Neurospora crassa OR74A: one gene and its partner. The protein of the gene in region 2 interacts with the protein of the main gene of each other region in a pairwise test. Links are inferred from orthologs where the notes say so. Each region holds a gene or a part of one and is shown on either strand. Other genes may lie near its edges.

Evidence for each region. The genes of interacting proteins can lie anywhere in the genome.
Region 1: the proteins of NCU02406 (region 2) and NCU01234 interact in binary tests that used the Saccharomyces cerevisiae proteins (3 or more experiments, as listed by UniProt). The link is inferred for Neurospora crassa OR74A from reciprocal best matches to the Saccharomyces cerevisiae genes SGD1 and FAL1.

The regions. Positions count from the first base shown.
Region 1 is NC_026505.1:3,306,035-3,313,786, reverse strand, and holds NCU01234 (eukaryotic initiation factor 4A-12), read left to right. Parts: upstream 1-3,615; 5' UTR 3,616-3,887; coding exon 3,888-3,990; intron 3,991-4,071; coding exon 4,072-5,112; intron 5,113-5,166; coding exon 5,167-5,225; 3' UTR 5,226-5,364; intron 5,365-5,426; 3' UTR 5,427-5,720; downstream 5,721-7,752. Other genes in the region: NCU01236 (GIY-YIG catalytic domain-containing protein), read right to left, coding at 1-1,142; NCU01235 (splicing factor 3a subunit 3), read right to left, coding at 1,746-3,161, 3,219-3,308; NCU01233 (aldose reductase), read left to right, coding at 5,905-5,946, 6,034-6,839, 6,906-6,927. UniProt on the Saccharomyces cerevisiae protein: ATP-dependent RNA helicase involved in 40S ribosomal subunit biogenesis. Required for the processing and cleavage of 35S pre-rRNA at sites A0, A1, and A2, leading to mature 18S rRNA.
Region 2 is NC_026507.1:2,608,574-2,616,370, reverse strand, and holds NCU02406 (nuclear protein), read left to right. Parts: upstream 1-2,814; 5' UTR 2,815-2,887; coding exon 2,888-2,957; intron 2,958-3,046; coding exon 3,047-5,736; 3' UTR 5,737-6,004; downstream 6,005-7,797. Other genes in the region: NCU02404 (RNP domain-containing protein), read left to right, coding at 1-278; NCU02405 (hypothetical protein), read right to left, coding at 1,774-2,105, 2,278-2,356, 2,439-2,462; NCU02407 (dihydrolipoyl dehydrogenase), read left to right, coding at 7,059-7,117, 7,205-7,257, 7,330-7,409, 7,497-7,797. UniProt on the Saccharomyces cerevisiae protein: Involved in osmoregulatory glycerol response, probably through its interaction with PLC1 which regulates the expression of GDP1.

The DNA of each region.
Region 1 (7,752 bases), on a different chromosome or scaffold from region 2:
GTCTTCACCTCTCGATTCCCTTTTGTATTTCTCCCCTCAGCATTGTTCCCTTTCTCATCAGCGACCTTCCCTTTGCCCTTCTCTTTGCCCTTCGCTGCCCTTCGCCTCTTCTTCTTCTTCAGCAGCTTCTCCACCTCTGCCTGCCCCCTGATCCTCAATGTCAACTCCTTCATCATATCTCCCCAAAGAACCTCGCCGTGACACTTTGGACACTCTCCCTTCACTGGAAGTATCTCATCCCCTTCATCGATCTTCATCCTCCTTGTTTCTTGCTTCAGGAGACACCGGCTCCAACAGTCAAGGTGTCCTACAGCCTCACAGCTTGTATTCGGGCAGATCGCATATAACCCCCTTCCCGCCACCATAGCTTCCTTACACACCACACAGCTCCCCTGCCTCTCAAACTCCCAAATCTCCTGACTCTTGGCCACATAGTCTTTTATCGGCGCGTAATCGAGCGGTAAAGCATAGATCCCATGTTTGTTCTCATCTTGCGCGTCGTCGCCGTCGTCGTCATCGTGCGGGTCATTCTCAGCTTCTTCCCCCATCCCAATCACGCCCGCCCCTTGTGGCGCCGTCGGACTGCCAAAGTCCGTAACCACCTCTACCTTCAAGTCTCCCAGCTCTCCCACCCCTCCACCGCCACTCTTAGCCTTCCAACCACCTCTCTCCCAGACCCTCCAAACATCCTCCTCAAAGAAATGCACCCTCAAAGGCCACCTCCCAAAGCTTCTCACCCCCACCAACATCCTCAAAGCCTCCATCACCCCCACCAAACTCTTCCTCGGCCTTTTCAGGTGTCCCGTCTTCCTCCTCCCCAGTCCCTTCACTGCCTCGGCCCTTTTTTCGGCAGGGATATGCAGCGACTTGTGTGGGTTATTCAGCGCCCATTCAAATTTCAGCGCGGCAATCATGCTCGGAAAACCGGAGACCAGACAGACCATGTTCCATGGCCGAAGAGATATTTTCGAAGTGCGATAGGCGCCACCCTTGGCGAGCCCGTTGTGTTGTGAGAGGCGCCGGGGTGGGTGAGGCGTGGAGCCGATGTAGAGGGAAGCGTGTCGGGGCTGGGAGCGGAGGATGTAGACTGTGTAGAGGGCGGGGATGGGTTTGGGTTGGATTTGGGTGGTGGTGGTAGACATCGTTTCTGTTTTCCCCTATTGGGAGGGAATTGGAAATGTTTTCTATAGGTGAGGTTGTCGTGACGTTTGGCTTGTTGTCATTTGCAGTCAAGACCTTGTTTCTTTTGGGAATTTCCCGGTGGACGATGTGCTTGATAATGAATTAGATGTGAACCGAGTGTCGCGTCAGTCAGGACAGTCGCCAAGAAGTACCGAACATTCGTTGATTGCACCCATTGGGCGATTGTGGTATTTTCGAGGTGCAAAAGGCAAAGGGTAACCAAGTTTATACGTGATGAAAATTGGTGACAGTGAAGAAGTGGAAGTTGCCGTCTTTGTTTACAAGATGTTGTTTATTCATGGCCGCAGTACCCGGAATGGCTGCCCAATTATTTCACGCCCTTGACTTCGCCATACCCCACTTTGGTGGGCCCAAGCTTTCTAAGCCCTTGGCTGCTCTGTTGAGTCTACAGGATGAAATGTCGAACAATCTTGCTGTCTATGTATTGGTTTATGTAGTAGTCCGAATTCATAGTTCTGTTTTGGACGGGGAGGACTTTGGGGTATTATGTTAATGTCTCAGAGGGGTGTTTTGACCTTGCTCATCCATCCTCTTAAAACCTCTCAAAGCAGACCCTGCTTCTGCAGATCAAGATATACCTTCTCAGGCATGACATTACCCTCAGCGTCCTCCATCTGCACGATCGAGCCCTCATCCACGTTGGTCTTTCTCGAGTCACCTTGGATCTTGTTCCAAAGCCTCACCGCCTCCTCTATAGACGTGATGTCTCGGAACAGATGTGTGTTTGTGATACCCAGACGCTTCAGGTTGGTGATGTGATTTGTTTCGTTGAAGTGCTTGTCAAAAGCACGCCGGCCGCGGTAGACAAAGTTGCCACAGATCTCGCAGGGAAACTCTTGACCCAGACCATGCAACCTGTAGAGCCAGAAGGGAATCGGCTTTCCGTCCCAAGCCAGCGGTAGCTTGAGCGGATTGTAAATCTTATCATCTCCGCCATCATCCTCGTCTTCCTCAGCCTCCTTAGCCTGCCTTCTGAACGTGGTGTTGTAGAGATTCTCCAACTCTTGTTGCCGCTCACGCTCCGTCATGCCTTGCCTACGTTCAACGTTCACTCTTGTGTCGTCCCGCTCCGTCTTCATAGCGCTGGCGAGCTTCTTGATGCGGTACTCCCTCTCAGCGACCGCCCGTTCCTTGAGGCGATGCGCTAGCGGGGCAACCGTGCCGTTTGATGTACCGTTGGCCGACTCTCCGTGAATCGCCGCCAACACCTCAGCGGCCTTGATGTGCTTCCTGCCGGTAAGATGGTTCTTGTAAACGTTTTCGTTCTTGAACTCCTTCTCGCATGCCTCGCACCAAACCGCGTCAGCGCTGCTCAGAGTGCGGTCTGTCGCAGAGCCGTTGGCCGCCAGTTTCTCCTTGCGCCAGCCTTCAATTTCGTCCTTTTCCCAAGCCGAATCGAATTCCTTGTCCCAGCCACCAAACACCTTTTCGAGATTTTCGAGTGGTCGCGTACGTCGAATGAAGGATTCCAGATACTCCATCAACTCGCCGAGGTACTTGAAATATTGATCGGTCAACTTGTCGGCCCGCTTGACTCCACCATAACCGGGTTGGAAGTTGTCAAAAACTTCAAGATACTGCATATACGGGAGTCGCTTCACATTGGGAAGGTTGAGGTAGGATTCGTGGCTGGCGTGCAAATCGAAGAAACGGCCGTATGCCTCTTCGCCCGAGAACATGCTTTCCACCAAAAATGGCTGATCGTCGCCATGCTTCCGCGGCCGGTACCAGTTTTCCGAGTTCTCGGCTTGCTCATTTGGGTACCGCGAGTGGTGTTCCTTGATAGTGGCTACTTGTTTGTAGAATTCCTCGAAGGGGTCACCACTGCCAATCTGCTGGATTTCCTTGGAGCGCACTCCAGTCTTGTCCTCGTATAGGGGAAGAAGCTCACGGGACTGGTGTTGAATCTGATCGAGGAGTTGGGATATCTCATGGTCACGATTAAGACGTTCATGAATCTAAGAATGTGTCAGCACAGAAGGTCTTGAGAGATACTTCGCGTGGAGGAAACATGCCTGTTTTGGCTCGTCGCGCAAACGGTCCGCGATACCCTGCTCGAGGCGTTCGAGATCCTCGTGAATGTATCTCTGCTCTTCTATCAACATGTTGACCAATGTGACACCCGCGAATTCCCCTATTCAAGAAGAAGTGAAAATGCGCGTAGAAGAGCCGGACTTGTCGTGTCGGGGTGCAGAATTGCGAATTGGAAAACTAGGATGATTTCTAGAAGAGAGGTTGTTGAAACGTGCTTTTTCGGCGCCACCAGTTGCTTCCGTGTACGAAGTCCAGAAAGAACAGCAGAGAAACACGTCGCGGCAGGCAAAGAACTCCCCGGCAAGTCCTTAGCGAAATCCACCAACTGCCCTGTCACAGATCCCCCGTCGTTCCATTAAATAAGGTTGGCCGACATTCTGCCGACCTGAAGGCTTGTCATCTTGGCAACTTTTTTTGACAACGGGAAAGCTCCACTCCAGTGCACGCCACACGTCGACATCGCATCCATCGTCAATCACTGTCGCGCTTTCGGTACAGTGGACTGTTTTTGTCTCGGGTGCAAATAATTTCCAATAACGAAGTCAACACTCCGGTCGAACCGCATCGTCAACATCCGCACCCACAACATCGCGTCCTCGGCCCTGACACACCTCAGAAACATACCCGATCCATCGACAGAATCGCCCACCATGGCTGACGGCGGAATCGATCGCAAGGCCGATGAAAAGATTCAGTTCTCCACCTCCAAGGAGGTAACGGTTCATCCGACTTTCGAGTCGATGTCCTTGAAGGGTAAGTCTTGTCGCATCGCATGTATTTCATGGTTGCTGTGGCTTAGTGAATTGGATTGAAACTAACTGGTTCTCAAAACAGAGAGTCTCCTTCGCGGCATCTACGCCTACGGATATGAGTCCCCCTCTGCTGTCCAGTCCCGCGCCATCGTTCAGATCTGCAAGGGTCGCGATACCATCGCCCAGGCCCAGTCCGGTACCGGTAAAACAGCCACTTTCTCGATCTCTATGCTTCAGGTCATCGACACCGCCGTGCGCGAGACCCAGGCCCTCGTCCTTTCCCCGACCCGCGAACTTGCGACCCAGATTCAGAGCGTTGTGATGGCTTTGGGAGATTACATGAACGTCCAATGCCATGCTTGCATTGGTGGCACCAACGTTGGCGAGGATATTCGCAAGCTCGACTATGGTCAACACATTGTCTCTGGCACTCCTGGTCGTGTTGCCGACATGATTCGCCGCCGTCATCTCCGCACCAGACACATCAAGATGCTGGTTCTCGATGAAGCCGATGAGCTCCTCAACCAGGGTTTCCGCGAGCAGATCTACGATGTGTACCGCTATCTTCCGCCTGCCACACAAGTCGTCGTCGTCTCTGCCACCCTCCCTTATGATGTGCTCGACATGACCACCAAGTTCATGACCGACCCTGTTCGTATCTTGGTCAAGCGTGACGAGTTGACCCTCGAGGGTTTGAAGCAGTATTTTATTGCTGTGGAGAAGGAGGACTGGAAGTTCGACACTCTTTGCGATCTCTACGACACTCTGACTATTACACAAGCCGTTATTTTCTGCAACACCCGCCGGAAGGTCGACTGGTTGACCGATAAGATGCGCGAAGCCAACTTCACTGTCAGCAGCATGCACGGCGATATGCCCCAAAAGGAGAGAGACAGCATTATGCAGGATTTCAGACAGGGCAATAGCAGAGTGCTGATCTCGACCGATGTGTGGGCCCGCGGTATCGATGTTCAGCAGGTCAGCTTGGTTATCAACTATGATCTTCCCAGCAACCGTGAAAACTACATTCATCGCATCGGTCGTTCAGGTAGATTCGGTCGCAAGGGTGTCGCCATCAACTTCGTTACTAGCGAGGATGTCCGCATCTTGCGTGATATCGAGTGTAAGTTTTGGGCAATCTAACCTCGGCGCCTTCGTTTGCTAACGGGAGATACAGTGTACTACTCGACCCAGATTGATGAGATGCCCATGAATGTTGCCGACCTTATCTCCTAAGAGGCTAGCGCGGGGTGTTTCAGGTGCACATTGGTCAAAATGCGAAGGGGCAGGTCGCGTCCGTCATTGATTAGGTCACAAAGGGTGGCTTCAACAGGACAGAATTCAAGTGGGAGGAAAGGGGCATGTCGGCCTTAAGGTACGGTAGCCTTCCACAATCCCGGCTCCTCCTTGTATACATCTTGCTGACCATACGACAAGGACGCTTTACAGATTGGAGAACATATCTAGGTGTTAATGCTAGCATGCGAACAAGAAATTCACAAGACTTGGAATATTCCAGGTATCACTTGATCTTGAGATACTATGGTTGTGATATCAACAACGAACCTTTTTTTGTCAGTCTAATACCTAGCGTACAGTTCAGTAAGCGATCACAACACGCTTAGCCCCTACCGGGGTTTATTTCGCATTGTGGAGTTGCATGACAGCTTTCTGACGTAACAATGGTCGCTACAATACAAGGCAAGGCAAGGAATTGCGCGCAATGGTCAACTGATACGGTAATTAACAAAACCGAAATATATCCGGCGATGTTGTCATCGTCCGCCGGAAGAGTGGGGACTTTGATGATTAACTCCAACATCAACCCGACAATAAGTATGCTCATTTTCACCTCACAGGGCAGACAACACCTACCCAACTTTCTGAACACATTCGCCGAACAAAAGAGTCAAAAATGCCTGAAACCGTGACAGACATGTTGAGCCGCAGAGTCAAGGTACGATTCGACATGCTGAAACTCTCCTCATCTCCAACCTCACAAGCCCCATGAGGTTCGCTTAGCAACTCATTAACACCCACCAAGCTCTCTAATGGCCTCTCCATTCCCCAAATCCAACTCGGCCTCTACATGATGTCCGGCCCCGAGACCACACGCGCGGTCCGCTGGGCCCTCGGTGCCGGCTACCGCGGCTTCGACAGCGCCCAATGGTACTACAACGAACGCGAAGCCGGCCAAGCCATCCTCTCCTTCCTGTCCTCCCCCGAAAACACCGCGGGCCTCACCCGCAAAGACGTTCATTTCACCAGCAAGCTGCGCGACAACAGCACCAATTACGACGCTGTTCGCGCTTCGATCTCCAAGTCAGTGAAGGCTTCTGGACTTGGCTACATTGACCTGTTCCTCCTGCACAGCCCGCTTGGCGGCCGCGAAGCCCGGTTGACCAGCTGGAAAGCGGTCGAAGATGCGGTACTCGCGGGCGAGGTCAAGATGGCGGGCGTCTCGAACTACGGCGTCAAGCATCTCGACGAGGTCATGTCAGCACCTTTTAAAATCAAGCCTCTCGTGAACCAGATTGAATGCCATCCATTCAACACGCAGCCGGAGATCAGGGCCGCGTGCGAGAAGTATGGTATTGTCATCGAGGCGTACGCGCCGCTAGCGAGAGGGATGCGCATGAAGCATCCCGTCTTGACAGCGGTGGCAAAGAAGTACGGGGTCACGCCCGCGCAGGTGTTGGTTAGGTGGTCGGTGCAGCATGGGTTCGTGACGCTGCCGAAAAGTACCAAGAAGGAGAGGTTGGTAGAGAATGCGGATGTGGGTAGGTTTGAGTTGGCCGAGGAGGATATGGAGAAACTGGATGGGTTGGATGAGAAGTTGGTTACTGATTGGTAAGATTTCCCCTCATTCCAAACCTCGAGTGGTGCGCTGACTTACTGACGCTTGGCGGTACGTAGGGATCCTACTGATGCGGACTAGATGTTCTCGGTTCGTGCCTACACGTTCGCCCAAGTACCTTCGGATTTACCAGTTCTGGTGCCTCCATGTACTTGATGTTATGGTCTGATTTGCAGATACGTAGACTTACTAAACCAGCGTATTTATTTCTTGTCCTCACAATCGGTTCGCAAACACAAGATATATGCGATTTGTCCTTTCTTACCACATCAACATATTACACAAACCAGGCAACACCTTTAAGCTCCGTTATTCTGGTGGCACTGGTTCCTCCCCACACCATATCTTCTTGTCTTCTTACTTGAGGTGGTAATAAGACCCCGGTTCTATTCGAGAGCCGCAAGTTGATGGGGAGGTAGAGCACTGTCCACGGAAAATGGATTCCAGATCATAGGGACGGCCGTCCTTGGCGGTCACCATGTAAACCCGCCAAGTCCGACCTTCATTGCCGACATATCACCGTCAGGAGACTATGAGTTCCTTCTGGGAATGGATCCGAGTTGCAGAGGAGGCAATCCTGCATCCTCAACCCACATTCGGCACCGTTTACAGAGTTGGATGATGAGTGCAGACCTACCAGAGGCTACAGGTGTCCTTGTGATACATTGAAAAGCTTTCTACACGAGCGGGGAAGATCATTGAACCATAGGCGGCTCAGGGTGAAAGAGGAAGGTGCTTCAATCTCCAGGTGGAATGAATGACAGCTTCACCTGCTTACGATGCCGTATATCACCCAAAGACGCACGGAGTACGGTTAATGTTACCTGAACATCGAGTCCCGAAAATAAAGCCCTGTTTGACCAAAGTGATGACCGAGGTCTCGAACTCACAAACGAACCAGTACTG
Region 2 (7,797 bases):
CGACCAGCAATGAGGATCTCGTCGAGCTCTTCTCTACTATTGGTAAGGTAGAGCAGGCTGAGATTCAGTATGAGCCCAGCGGTCGCTCCCGCGGCTCTGGCGTCGTTCGCTTCGACAATGCCGACACCGCCGACACCGCGATCCAAAAGTTCCAGGGTTACCAGTATGGTGGACGTCCTCTCGGTCTGAGTTTCGTCAAGTACCTTAACCCTGGTGCTGGCGGCGACAGCATGGATACCGACCCCCATGGTGGCCTGACACAAGATCAGATCATGTAAACTGATTACCGACCATCGCGTCAGTCATACTGGTTGAAGCAACAGATTTCCTATGATAGTTTGGGATTTTCCATTTGGAGGTTGTATTATATGACTGGATTAAGCCTGTCTTCGATGTGGCGCTCGGTTCAATCTTTCCAATTGCACTACTTGTCTACGGACAGGTGGCTATGGTCAGGGATTTGGTGGCCATGAGCATTGGCCTGGGATGGGGCAGTAGTCTGAATGGCCGCATGACAAGCATGTGAAGGATGGTGTCGGAGGAAGGAGATTGAGGAAGTTGAATTTGCGACATGCTTTACCTTGCCCAGTTCTAGCACATGGGACAAGTAAATCCCACTGAAACTTGTTGCTCTTTTTGCGGCTGACATTTGGCTCTTCGGCCTTTCTTTCAGCAAGTTGTTTACGGTTCGGACCCTCAAAATGGACAGTTGATCTTGTTTCACCTACATCCCCCCACCTTTAGACTGTACTCTTGAAGAGAACATGCAATTATCTCGGTTGACCTTAGGATTAAGGTCGAACATTGGAACTGCGACTCTTGGTAACCTGAATCAAAGCCAATCAAGGTGAAGCCAACGTGATGTGACGTGTTCGTGGTGTTTCATAATGGTGAATCGAGTGGAGAACGGGTGAGCCGGTTGCCCTTCAGCTGATGCTCATAAGTGCGGCTCAAATATATCTACGCTTGACGTCAGGGTACGGTAGCTGCTGCTCCACCCGGGCAGTCTTGTTATTTTACCAAATGAGAAATGTTAACTTTGCTAATAGGACCGTTTAGATCGAGTCACCTGGAGATACACGCTCTCCCGGTGATCAAGTTCACACCCAAGACAGGATCGTGAAGGCCAGCCAGCAGATTTGGAACAAGCATATGAACGTTATCAATTCGGCTCGCTCTTACTCTCCCCTTCGTTCAACAGCTTCTCTGTTGAGGCACAGCAGTCGTTCTCTCACGCTTCTTCCGTCACTCATTCATTTCATGTTCCTCTCTTTCCCTTCCATCTCCATTTCCACGAAGGGCCGCATACTTCCTGCGGCAGGACTGAACATTCTCCAGAACGGGCATATGATCCCTTTAGTTCGCACCTTTCATTAACTCCAGTAGCTCACGTAGATAGTAGATGTGCGCTGCACGCTAGATAGGCAGCTGAGCTTTTCATATTCCCCCTTCCCCCCCTCTCCCAACACCTTTTTTTTCTTCCCTTCCTTTCTCGCTAGTCGTCTTGAAGGGTAATACCAACTACGAGCAGGTGAGTCGAGAGGTAGGGTAACCGAGAGTGGCAGATTGAAGGCTATGATGCGGTACTACTCACCAACGCTTTCCTTACCATGCGTACCCACTGACTTGAACCAGGGTATTCCACCAAAGCTTGGGAATATTACAAAATTTAATACGGTACCCTCATACAGATCCCTCCTTCCGTTAGGTCATGTACACACAAGAAGACAGAAACAGCAATGGTGTAATTTGCAACGCTTGTTTCGAGTCCAATCAGGGAATAGCCATCATAGAAGTCCCACCAGCACCAACACCAGGACCTCCAGCGGCTGCAGGACCTGTCTTCTTCTTCCTCGACTGCTTTTTCCTCTTGGTCCTGTCTCTCGGCTTCAATGCCCCCATGCCCTTCTTGCAAACATCGGCGTACCTCCCGTAGAAGGTTTCCAGGTCGGCTGGCTCGACAATGGTGGACAGCTTGACCTTTTCTGTCCTCTTGTCCTTGCCCTTGGCGTTGGTGGCGCGGATGAGAACCGGGAGCGGGGTGGCAGGGTTGAGGTCAGTGAGAGGGTCGGTATCCGTGGATTGGGAAGGGGTGCTGTAGGATACTGTGGGAGGGTTAGCTTTGGTGACGGAGCTTCACTCTACTTAGCTCATCGTGGGTGGATGGAGATGGAGTTTAAGCTTGGAAAACAGCGGAAATTGGGAGGATTGTCGTGACGATAGCAAAGCCGAGTGTGAAGTTTCCTGTCTGCGCTGGGTTGGTGTAGGTACACGTACGCCTCTTTTGTACTAGGTTGATGGTTCCGTGATCTTGGTTCTTCCTATACTCGAACAGATTGGTGAGCTTGGAGAAGAACTATATACCATAGTCGGTTGAAGTCAGATTAGCATGGTCTCCTCAGGACGGGATCACAGCAGCCAGTCACATATAACATTACCTCATCGTGAGTTAAATGACCCATGATATCCAGTTGTTTTTCGTCTTCTTCTTATGCTCGTTTGCAAAAGGCAAGACAACAATTCGGCTGAGGAGTGAATGTGAAGGCAACCTAGAATGATTGATGAAAGTCAACGAGAGTGGCAGCTTTCCCCACTGCTGTTGGCCGGGCAGCTCCCGTCTGTCTGGTAGGAGTGAGCTTCCCCAGCGTAAAACCAGCCGGGTGGGGTCCCAAGCAGCGGAGGACCCGCTTCATCTCTTGGCGCTCTTGGCCCCGCAGTCGACATGCCTGGAACCCTGCACCGACCGATAACCAAAAAAACTATCTGATAACGATAGCAAGGTCCCGATCCCGCGCTCTTCCATGCAGCGACGGACGAGAGAGCCTTGCAAAGTTTGGAGGTCGTGCCAATCAATCACATCTACACCTCCGCACGCGCATATTACAACATGGCACCCTCCATGAGGATAAAGGCTCCAAAATTGCCTGACAACCTCCTGAAGGAGCTCGGCGTAGAAGGTGAGCGTGCCTCCGTTCATGCGCCCATACAGCCATTGTCATTCCTGCCTGGCAATCAGGGTTCTCCGACGAAATCCTAACTCTTGCAGGACAATCTCACGGAGGTCGCAAGAATCAATTTCAGTCTAGAAAGGATCGCCGTAAAGCAGAGAGAACACAGAAAAGGATTCACCGCACCTCGTCCACAAGAAGTTACCATACCGAGCGCGCTACAGCCCCAAAACCACAGAAGAAGGTCGATGCCGCATCGTCAAAGGAAGCAAAGGAACCCAAGCCCATCTTGAAGAACGGGAAGAAACGATCATTGGAGGATGAGGATGAAGATGTTGCCCTCGAAGAGGACGATGATGAGGATTTCGATGACGAGGGCGATATCGATCTTGACGAGGACGAGGACGATGAGCTAGACCTCGACGAAGAAGACGACAAAGACGGCGAAGACGTGGACGATGAAGAGGAAAGTGATGTCCCAACACAAACCATATCGAAGTCGCAGCCCAAAATCTCAAAAACTGTCATGGAACGATTGGCGCAAGACGACAAGGAGATCGCAGACCTCGAAAAGAAGCTCGGCATCAAGGGACGCAAATCGCTTCCCAAGTCCTTCCAGGAGGATGGTCTTCTTGATCTACTAGAAGGCCTTCCTGGCGTAGACGACGAAACAGCCGAGAAAAGGAAGCGGAAGTCCGAAGCGGATGAGTGGCTTGCGGCGAAAAGGAGGAAAGCGGAAGAGGCCAAGAAGACGAAGGAATTCGAACTAGACGAGGAAGAAAATGAAGTCTCCGAACTGGACGAAGAGGACGATGGCTTGGACGATCTCTTAGAGGGATTGAACTCGGACGAAGACAACGACGTTGACCAAGACGAAGACATGGTCGAAGGCGATTCTGATGAAGATGGAGAAGAAGACAGCATCTTGGGCGAGGATGAGGGGGATTTTGGAGGATTTGACGAGGACGACGACGAGGACGACGACGAGGACGACGGCGACGACGACGAATCCGACAACGACGAAGAAACGCTACAAAAGCCGCCAGAACGGGTCCGCGAAAACCCATATGTTGCGCCTACAACTGGGCGGACTGTAGTGAAATACGTGCCACCATCGAAGCGACAGGAGGCGGGCTCAGAAGCGGAGTTGGTGGCCCACATTCGCCGTCAAACACAAGGTCTCATCAACAGGATGACAGAGTCTAATCTTTTATCCATCATTATGGACTTTGAAAAGCTTTACCGCGACAACCCGCGACAACATCTTACGTCGAACATTGTCGATCTCCTACTCATTCAGGTGTGCGAGCCAACGACGCTGCCTGATACGTTGCTCGTGCTTACCGCGGGTTTCGCTACGGGTATCTTCAAGGTGATTGGCATGGACTTTGGCGCACAGTTAATTCAAGAAGTGATCGAGCGATTTGATAGGCATTATGAAGAGGCCAAAGAGGCTGCAAAGGAGCGGCCAGACGTGCCGAAACAGACATCCAACCTCATCACTTTCCTATCCGAACTCTATAACTTTCAACTCGTGGGCCCTAACTTGCTCTTCGACTTCATTCGAATCCTTTTGGGTGATCTTTCGGAGCTGAACGCGGAACTTTTGCTCAGAATTGTGCGCATTGCTGGCCCAGCCCTCCGACAAGATGACCCCATGTCTGTCAAGGACATTGTTACCCTTATCCGCCCGGCTGTTGCCAAGATCGGAGAGAAGAACCTCAGCGTCAGAACTAAATTCATGATTGAGACCATCAACGACCTGAAAAACAACAAGATGAAGACGGGTTTAGGCGCTTCCGCCGTTCTCACGGAGCACACAACCAAGATGAAGAAGCTTTTGGGCACCTTGAAAACCATCAAGACGGCCGAGCCCTTGCGAATGACCCTTGCCGATATACGCGATGCCGACAAGAAGGGCAAATGGTGGCTTGTAGGCGCTAGCTGGGCAGGCAGAGATAAGGACAGTGACAAGAAGCCATTGACCCAGGACGGTGTCATACAGGATAGCGTTGACTCGGACGACGAAAGCTTTGTCTTGGAGGATGTCGAGGACATGCCTGACCTCGGAGAACTTGCCAGAGAAAACCAGATGAACACGGACGTGCGCCGGTCCATCTTTGTGTCGATAATGTCCGCCACGGACTACGAAGATGCCTACTACCGCATCCTCAAGTTGCGCCTGAACAAGGAGCGACAGAGAGAGATTCCATACGTGGTCATCCAGTGTGCCGGCGCAGAGCAGGTCTACAACCCATACTACACCTTGGTGGCCAAGAAGCTTTGCGGGGATCGCAAAATCCGGTGGTCGTTCCAAGACGCGCTCTGGAAGCTATTCAGGCGTCTCGGAGAGTCAGTTTTTGGCGATGACGCGGAGGATGAGGAGGATGTAGATGCGATGGACATGCGGCGGCTTGTCAACATTGCAAAACTGTTTGGGGCCATGGTGGCAGGTGGATCGCTAGGATTGGCAATTCTGAAATGCCTCAATTTGCCTTATCTACAAACCAAGACGCGGGCGCTAGTGGAGATCCTGCTGATTACTGTGCTTCTTGAAGCCGGAAAAGGCGGCGACAAGGATCGGGATGAGACGATTACTTCGGTGTTTGTGGCTGTGGAAGGGGTCCCCGAGCTTGCCAGAGGCCTGCAATGGTTCATCAAGAAGGTGGTCCGGAAGTCGGATCTCGCGGGAGGGGCGGCCAACACCAAGCTCGTCAAGGAGGGTTGCAAGACGGCCATGGCGGCCTTGGAGCATGCGCTGCTCGCCGCCGAAGGCTTGGTGGAATAATTTTGCTTTGTTGGATACCTGTATATGGATCGGATATCTTCGGGAATAGCAACATAATGATCAGGGATACAAGTGTGCCGGGGTCTATACAAAAGGCCATTGACCAATATCATGACAAGTTCATGGAACTAACCCAAGCATTCTCGCTCGAATGTAGTTACCTACTTTGTAGATATTAGCGTTGACGGCGGGACTGGAAAAGTTGGGGGTAGCTTTAAGTTGGGGAACTTGTTGTCAGGAAGGGCGATTTGCTACTAGGGATCCAGGGAGCAACCGACTCGAGTGTGCGGGAGCCCGGAAATATAGTGGTCTGTGAATAGCACTCAATGATGTCATTTCGTCTTGCAACGAAGGGACAGGGTTTCATGAGGGTCGGGCGGGACTCTTGATTGTGGACATGAAGAGGAGGCAGATGGTTTGAGATGAATTGCCTGCCATGTGTCATGTCGTTCGACAAACAACTAACCTCTAAGACGGGTTAGGGACAGGTTATGCTTCTCCAATTCGGCAGCTGGGCAAGCTGGGGTTATTTGGCGTTGACGGGCGGAGTAAAGAGGGGAGCAAAGAGGGGATCGCGCCAAGGAGCAAGATGAATGTCAAACACAACCTAAGCTGTCAGAAAAATGGCTACAATACATAGCGGGAGTGCAGAGATGTCAAAATTTTGGAGTCAGCTGCTGCACGCCAAGTTCGTCTTGACCAATCACAGGACGCAATGGAGCGTACCTAGTACCGTACGTATTTGGGGACGGGTTTCTTCGACGAAGCAGTCAGGGCAGCAGCGACAGTAAAGTAAGACGGCGAAGAGCGCGCTGCCCGTCCCGCCTAACACTGGCATCATAGTACTTTTACTTCCTGTAGCACACTACCTCTACACTACTAACACGATCAGGCAGTACCTACCTACCTATTTAGTGTAGCGTACGCGAGATTAGAGGTACCTACTACCTACCTAGGTAGTGGTGTTCCTACTCCGCTCCGTTCGTACCTACCTCTACCTACTCCGCTCTGCGCTGTCTCGAGCGGGCCAGCTTGGGGACGGGCACGGTGGAAAGCGGGTGCCCTTTGAGCGATGTGAGCCTCTGACGGGCTGGCAACCCGAACAAGTGGGACTGGACATTTTTCGCTTGCCGTGAATAGCTTCCGCCTCGAATCCCAACAATTGTCTCTCCCGCGGCGTTTTGCAGTTCAGTACACACTTTCGACGTCTCACCATCGAATCGCATTCCCTGCTTCCCCGGGCATCTCTCTGCAGTGCGCTCGTTCCTTCGAATTTTCCCTGTTTCCATTTCTGGTTTTTCCATTCAGCACATACTTTCACCATGCTGTCCCAAAGATTAATAGGCCGTGCTGCCGTCCGGTCCGCCTTCAAGCCCTCGGGGTAAGCTCACTGTCCCGGTTGCCGGCGGATGCCCGACACACTGTTTTCTCATGCGCGTACTGAGGCTGACCTGACGACCACATACAGGCTCCCTGTCGTCGTTTCTCCCAGGTTGAGGAGGACCTATGCGACCGAGTCTGGTCTGTTTGCCAACATCAAGAGCTGGTTCTCGTCAAAGGATTCTGGTCGGCTGACTGTTGATGTGCCCGTAGAGGAGAAGGATCTCGTCATCATTGGAGGTGGCGTCGCTGGCTATGTTGCTGCCATCAAGGCCGGCCAGGAGGGTCTCAAGGTGCGTCGCATCGCGAATCAACTACACCGCAACACCGACGAATGACGACAATATCTGACTGCTATCTCCCATGTTGCCTGGAAATAGGTCGCCTGTATCGAGAAGCGCGGCACCCTCGGCGGTACCTGCCTGAACGTCGGCTGCATTCCCTCCAAGTCGCTCCTCAACAACTCCCATCTCTACCATCAGATCCTCCACGACTCGAAACACCGCGGCATCGAGGTCGGCGATGTCAAGCTCAACCTCGCCCAGCTTATGAAGGCCAAGGAACAGTCCGTCAGCGGTCTTACCAAAGGTGTCGAGTTCCTCCTGAAGAAGAACGGCGTCGAGTACATCAAGGGTGCTGGCGCCTTCGCCGATGAGCACACCATCAACGTCAAGCTCAACG